Macaca mulatta: one gene and its partner. The protein of the gene in region 1 purifies or fractionates together with the protein of each later gene. This does not show direct contact. Links are inferred from orthologs where the notes say so. Each region holds a gene or a part of one and is shown on either strand. Other genes may lie near its edges.

Region 1 (4,433 bases):
CAAACTCCTGACCTCAGGTGATCCACCTGCCTCAGCCTCCCAAAGTGCTGGGATTACACGTGTGAGCCACCACATCCAGCCCCTGGCTACTCTTTTTATGTTTTGTAGAGACGGGGTCTCACTATGTTGCCCAGGCTGGTCTCAAACTCCTGAGTTCAATCGATTCACCTGCCTTGGCCTCTAAAAGTGCTGGGATTACAGGGGTGAGCCTGGTCATCCTTTGGTTTAGAATACTATGGTGCTCACCAGATCTTCCCACCAGTCCCGGTCAGGGAGGGCTGATGCCCCCCTCCAGAAAAAGCTAGCCCAAAGGGCTCTCAGCTTGCTGAGTCTAAATTCTCACTTTATGGAGAAAGAAATCAAGACACAGAGAGGGACGTGACCTGCCAAGGCGACAGAGCTGGGTATCCTACCCTGATTTCTGAGACTTCATGGTTTGGTACAGTAGGGGCTATTTAGGGAATCCCCAGTACATGACCTGTGGTATGCCTGGCTTGGCAGGGGAGGCCCCAGAAGTAGAACCCAGGGCACAGTCTAGAACTTGTTAAGTGAAAAACCCATGTAAAGAGACTGATGGCCGGGTGCTGTGGGGTGTGCCTGTGGTCCCAGCTACTGGGGAGGGTGAAGCAGGAGGAGGATCCCTGGAGCCCAGGAGTACATGACCAGCCTGGGTGATGTAGCACGACCCTGTCTCTCTCTTTTTTTTTTTTTGAGACGGAGTCTTGCTCTGTCACCCAGGCTGGAGTGCAGTGGCCGGATCTCAGCTCACTGCAAGCTCCGCCTCCCGGGTTTACGCCATTCTCCTGCCTCAGCCTCCCGAGTAGCTGGGACTACAGGCGCCCGCCACCGCGCCCGGCTAGTTTTTTGTATTTTTAGTAGAGACGGGGTTTCACCGTGTTAGCCAGGATGGTCTCGATCTCCTGACCTCGAGATCCGCCCGCCTCGGCCTCCCAAAGTGCTGGGATTACAGGCTTGAGCCACCGCGCCCGGCCATCTCTCTTTTTTTTGAAATGGAGTCTCACTCTGTCACCAGGCTGGAGTGCAGTGGCACGATCTCGGCTCACTGCAACCTCCAACTCCCGGGTTCAAGTGATTCTCCCGCCTCAGCCTCCAGAGTAGCTGGGATTACAGGCACGTGCCATGACACTTGGCTAATTTTTGTATTTTTAGTAGAGATGGGGTTTCATCATGTTGGCCAGGATGGTCTCGATCTTCTGACCTCGTGATCCACCCGCCTCAGCCTCCCAAATTGCTGGGATTACAGGCGTAAGCCACCGCGCCCAGTCCACCCCATCTCTTTGGAAACAACAACAAAAAACCTGTTATGAAGTCACCAGGAAGAGGTGGTCAAGTTGCAATGAAAATTGCACTTAAGGCTGGGTGCAGTGGCTGACACCTGTAATCCCAACATTTTGGGAGCCCGAGCACAAGGATCATTTGAGCCCAAGAATTTGAGACCAGGCTGGGAAACAGATGGAGACCCTGTCTTTACAAAAAATTTAAAAATGTGCCAGATGTGGTGGTGTACCTCTGTATTCTCAGCTACTCAGGAGGACAAGGCAGGAGGAATGCTTGAGCCCAAGAGTTGGAGACTGCAGTGAGCCATGATCGTGCCACTGTACTCCAGCCTGGGTGACAGAGAGAGACCCTGTCTCAAAAAAAAAAAAAAAAAAAAAAAGGTAAAAGGTAATCACATTTAATAATATTAAGTTCCAACTTGTGACTGTGTGAAGTCACACAGTTGAGTTCCCTGTGTGAAGTACTTCAAATGCATCATCTCATTTAATCTTCACAACAGTCCAATGAAGTCAGTTTTATCATTGTCAACTAATGAGGAAACCAGAGGCCAGAGAAGGGAAGTGACTTGCCCTAACTTACACAGTTTTTCGCTTTAAGACTCAAACCAGGTTTGTCAGACTCCAAAGTCCCTGCGAGAGCCTGCTGGTTCCCTTCTCTGTTCCCCTCCCAATCCAGCTCAGAGCTTCACCCTTCCCCAAGGAAATCTGAGACCTGGATGTGGAGGAGAAAAAGGAAGTGGCAGAAGAGGAAGAAGATAACTGATACTTGGGGAAAACTATTAGTCCTGGGCATGAGATGTGGGCCACCTACCCGCAGAGGGAGTGACCAAGAGTGAGGAGAGTTTGAGGACCAGAGAATCCCGCTGGAAGGGGGAGAGCAAATTCCATATTCATCTAAACTTCACAAGCAGTGTGACAGCCAAGGGAAGGGGTGCGACGGTGGCGTTGGGGGCCTGAGCAAAAGCGAGGAGAGGGCGGGAAAGGACGGACCGTCGGGAGCGACAGGTCAGCGTAACCCAGGCAAAGGGTAGGAGGCAGCCCCGGAAGAGAGGACCTGCGGGAGACGGGACTCAAGCGGCGCTTCGGGGCCTCCCGCTTAGTTGGCCAGTTTCTGGGCCGGCCCCAGGAGCCGGGCTTCAGGAGAAAGAGAAGGGTAGAGGGATTCACTGCCCGACCTAAAGGGCCCGAGCCTGAACCCGAGACCAGAAACTATCTAAAGACGGGCTCCCAAACTCCAGGACAGTTGTCAAGCAGCAGGTGGGGAAACTGAGGCCTGAAGTGACCGGGACTGCGGGGTCATCTGACCGATAAGGCCTGGTAGGGCCGGTGTCTCGGGCTCCAAGAGCTGCCCCTCGGGGTCGCCACGTCTGGGCCCCGGGTGTGAGAGCTCGGGGTGTTGAGCCGGGGTCCTGGGGCCCCTGGGGGGAGGGGCAGAACCCGGATGTGAGGGGGGGGGGTCAGCGGAAGAGGGACCCGGATGTGGGGGCGCCGCACAGTCCTGACCCGGGCCAGACAACCCCGGTAAGCGTACAGCCCCGTATTCGGGATCGAGGCTGCGCTGGACGGCGCGGGCGGGGCTCACTCACTATTCGGGGTTCATGGCGGCGGCGGCGGCCCGCTCGGTCGCTCCCAGTCGGCTCTGCTCCGCCTCCCGTTCCAAGATGGTGGCCGCTCCGCCCCAGAGGCCCCGCCCGCGACGCGCAGGCGCAAACGTCCTCTTCTCAGGCCTCGCCGCGCTGGTTCTCGGAACTTGTAGTCTGAGACGTTCTCCAACTCAGCCCCGCTGCGCAGGCGTAGTCGGGGAGCCCGTGCCTCCGCGCCCACTCCCATCACTACTGGCGCATTGCCTTCTGGGGCTTGTAGTTTGCACGCCGGACGCACCTAGGCTTGAGCACGATGCTGGAAAGCCTGACGGCGTCTCGGTGTTTAAAAAGCTCAGTTTAGAGCTGGGCTTGGCACGTTTCACATCTGTCTGACGGAGACAGTCATCCTTACCCTCCCAATACCCACGTTGTGAACATTAAATGAGAATGTGGGATCTAGCAAGACTAGTAAAAGCTCACTTGTCCAGGGTTCCTCGTGTACTGGGCACTCCTAACTCGCAGCCGCGTGTCATCACCCGCATTTCATAGATGAAAAAACTGAGTATCGGGAAACTCACTCAAAGTCAAAAACTTTGTGAAGAGCAGAGCTCGTAAGAGCCCGCGGTCTCCAGAACCCCACAAGTGAACGTTTTAGGGAAAGCCTGACTTGTGGGGCCCCCACCCAGTTCCGGGGTGGGCCAGAATATCTGGGCCCAGCTGCGCGGACAGCGGTTGAGCGAGACACACTGTCCCCCACTCACGCGCGACCCTTCCCGGCTCCACCCGTTTAGAGACGCGGGGGCACCCCGACCTCCGCCTCAAAACAAGCCCGGCTCAGATTCAAACCGTCTTTATTTCTACAGCAACATCTGAAAATAGAGAGCAGCCGCCTCACCCGCAACAGGGGGAGCCCCTCCTGCCACCAAGGGACCGTCGCCGCCCCTCGCGAGAAGCTGCAGGCGTGGGGAGAGGCGTGGCAGGATGGCTCGGTGGGCGGTGCCCGGGGCGGGGTCGGGCCGTGCCTGGGCGGGGCCGGGCGGGAGGGGCAGTGCATAAGGCCGGGATGCGGGGCAGGGCCCGGCGGTGGGAGGACTGACTAAGGGGAGGTCCCCGTCCTGGGGCACGGGGCGATGGCGGGGTAGGACGCATCCCTCAGAGGCCAGGAGGAGCGCGAGAAGGTCCCGGGAGCCACTTAGGAGGCGCCACTCCCGAGAATGTGGAGCCTGGGAGATACCACCGCACGGAATGGGGGTGATTAAGGCCTGGGCGGTACCACTAGAGGAGGGACGAGGGGAGGCCCGGGTAGTACCGTGGACTGAAGGGTGGGGCGCGGCCAATAACTTATTTCTCTATATACAGAAGCAACGGCCGGGTTGAGTTGGGAGGGAGGGCGAAGGTGCCGAAGGGCCGGCGAGTGCTTAGTGTTCTTGGCTCTGGGGTCTGGGGAGGCCAGGCCACTGAGTCTATGGTGGAGACTCCAGCCGGCACCTCCTGCTGGCCCCGAACCTAAGGAAGAGGGCCCTGCTGGAAGGAATAAATAAGGGATCGAGCT
Region 2 (2,495 bases), on another chromosome or scaffold:
GAGGCTAAAAAGGGTGGAGAGGTTAACCTAAGGTCACAGGACAGCTGGGCTGGGAGTGGGGGTGCCTGCCCTGCTGAGATGGAGAGTTTTGTGCTGCGTTGGTGCAGAACCTCCTCCCGCCACCTTCCTTAGATCTGATGGGTATGTTTGAGAAACGGCGCTTCCGCAAGTTCCTGGTGTTTGTGGCAAACTTCGATGAGAATGACCCCAAGACCTTTGAGGGTGTTGACCCCCAGACTACCAGCATGCGTGATGTCTACCGGAAGTTTGATCTGGGCCAGGATGTCATCGATTTCACTGGCCACGCCCTGGCACTCTACCGCACTGATGAGTGAGGGGAAGCTGGTGTGGCGGCAGCCCCCTCGCCCGGCCCACCTCCTGCCCTCCCCACACCTGCCTGTTGTCCCCCTGCCCTGCATGTTCCTTGTACTCAGCCATAGGCTCACCTATCACCCTTTCCATTTCCCCCTTGCATTTGATCCTCATCTTCCCCAGGCCATTCAGGGTGGTGGGAAGACTGGCCTGGTACCTGGTACCTGGGTGGGGGTAAGTCAGGGGTGCTGCTACTGGAGCGTCTTCCCTAACCCCTGTCCCCCAGCTACCTGGACCAGCCCTGTCTTGAGACCATCAACCGCATCAAGTTGTACAGTGAGTCCCTGGCCCGGTATGGCAAGAGCCCATATTTATACCCGCTCTACGGCCTGGGCGAGCTGCCCCAGGGTTTTGCAAGGTGAGGACGTGGGTTTTTTCAGTTGGCATGGCTGAGTAGGACTAGGGCCAGGAGTGGAGATGGCCCCCTTGAGCATTTCCCTGGTAGCATTTCCTCCTTTCCAATTCGTGATTTTCATTTACTTCACTCCATCCTTGGGTGATGAGGGCACAACCCCAGTGCACTGAAGTACAGAAGTCTCCACACTTGCCGGGCGCGGTGGCTCACGCCTGTAATCCCAGCACTTTGGGAGGCCGAGGCGGGCGGATCACAAGGTCAGGAGATCGAGACCACGGTGAAACCCCGTCTCTACTAAAAATACAAAAAATTAGCCGGGCGCGGTTGTGGGTGCCTGTAGTCCCAGCTACTCGGGAGGCTGAGGCAGGAGAATGGCGTGAACCCGGGAGGCGGAGCTTGCAGTGAGCCGAGATCGCGCCACTGCACTCCAGCCTGGGCGACAGAGCGAGACTCCGTCTCAAAAAAAAAAAAAAAAAAAGAAGTCTCCACACTTGAAGAACCAAGTTTCCACAAATGTGACTTGCTCAGTTCCCGGCAGCACCAGGACTGGGCCCAGGGCCCCAGAACCTTGAGTCAGGGCTTCGCTGGGAGGTGACCTATCTTGAGAGAGTCCATCCTGGTCCTTCAGGCTGTCTTGGTGCAGAGCACTGCTCCCTCATGCCCCCTTCTGCTGGTCCTTGGCAGTGTATTCTGGGCAGAAGAAGCTCCTGAGAGGAAAGAGCCCGCTGAGATGGGGCCAGAGTTCACGGCAGTGACACAGCTGGGATGAATCCCGGCGTCTCCTGCCTGCTGCCTTTTTTGCACCTTGGTGGAGGAAGGGTGACAGTGGAATTGGTCCCCGTTTCTCCTGGGAGGGGCCTTCACCAGGGCTGTTCTCACCACAGATTGAGTGCCATCTATGGGGGGACGTATATGCTGAACAAACCTGTGGATGACATCATCATGGAGAATGGCAAGGTGGTGGGCGTGAAATCTGAGGGAGAGGTGAGCCTTTCTGGTGCAGTGCAGTCACCATGGTTGAGGCAGGGCTTGGTCATCTTCTTTTCACTGTGCTGCCGGGTCTCCTGCTGCACAGCCCCGAGGGTCTTGGAGCTGGGAACTGGGCGTTCAGAAGTCTTCAGAGCCATGAATGTGGGTGAGGGGCTATTTCAGAGGCCACACGCCATGTCTGTAGTGCAGAAAGTGTACTTGATCACGGGGCATCTGGGAGGCGGGGGCGGGCACCCAGCCTATGGGTCAGGGCCCACCTCTGTGAGCTGCAGGGCAGGGCCATGCATTCAGGAGGGGCAGTAGTGATGGCTCCGAGGAGTGCCTTGTCTGCCAGAGCTGCCTGCCTTTGCTGTGAACACAGCCCCAAGACTACCTAAGGGAGTGATCTGACGGGCGAGGATTTCTGGTGCCTTCTCAGGTGGCCCGCTGCAAGCAGCTGATCTGTGACCCCAGCTACATCCCGGACCGTGTGCGGAAGGCTGGCCAGGTTATCCGCATTATCTGTATCCTTAGCCACCCCATCAAGAACACCAACGATGCCAACTCCTGCCAAATAATCATCCCCCAGAACCAGGTCAACAGGAAGTCAGGTAGGCCGGGTGCTGGTACAACTTCCTCTAGGGTGTTCTCTTTGGGGTTACCCTTTCTCTCCCCATCAGTGTCGGAGCTCCCTGCCTTACCTCTCTGGAAAAAATTTGACCCACGTTGTAGTCACCACAACTTGGACCCCTAGGGTTTGGGTGGCCTGGACTCTTCCCCTCTGGGAGGGTGGCGGCTT

The links.
Region 2: the proteins of RAB1B (region 1) and GDI1 purify together in Homo sapiens (affinity purification with mass spectrometry; 3 studies listed by BioGRID and IntAct, counting the BioPlex papers as one, with this or other methods). This does not show direct contact. The link is inferred for Macaca mulatta from reciprocal best matches to the Homo sapiens genes RAB1B and GDI1.

Annotation. Positions count from the first base shown.
Region 1 is NC_133419.1:8,145,329-8,149,761, forward strand, and holds the start of RAB1B (ras-related protein Rab-1B), read right to left. Parts: upstream 2,993-4,433; 5' UTR 2,899-2,992; coding exon 2,885-2,898; exon of another isoform or gene 2,036-2,884; intron 1,045-2,035; exon of another isoform or gene 1-1,044. UniProt on the Homo sapiens protein: The small GTPases Rab are key regulators of intracellular membrane trafficking, from the formation of transport vesicles to their fusion with membranes.
Region 2 is NC_133426.1:160,623,308-160,625,802, forward strand, and holds part of GDI1 (rab GDP dissociation inhibitor alpha), read left to right. Parts: intron 1-132; coding exon 133-331; intron 332-598; coding exon 599-730; intron 731-1,611; coding exon 1,612-1,711; intron 1,712-2,135; coding exon 2,136-2,307; intron 2,308-2,495. UniProt on the Homo sapiens protein: Regulates the GDP/GTP exchange reaction of most Rab proteins by inhibiting the dissociation of GDP from them, and the subsequent binding of GTP to them. Promotes the dissociation of GDP-bound Rab proteins from the membrane and inhibits their activation.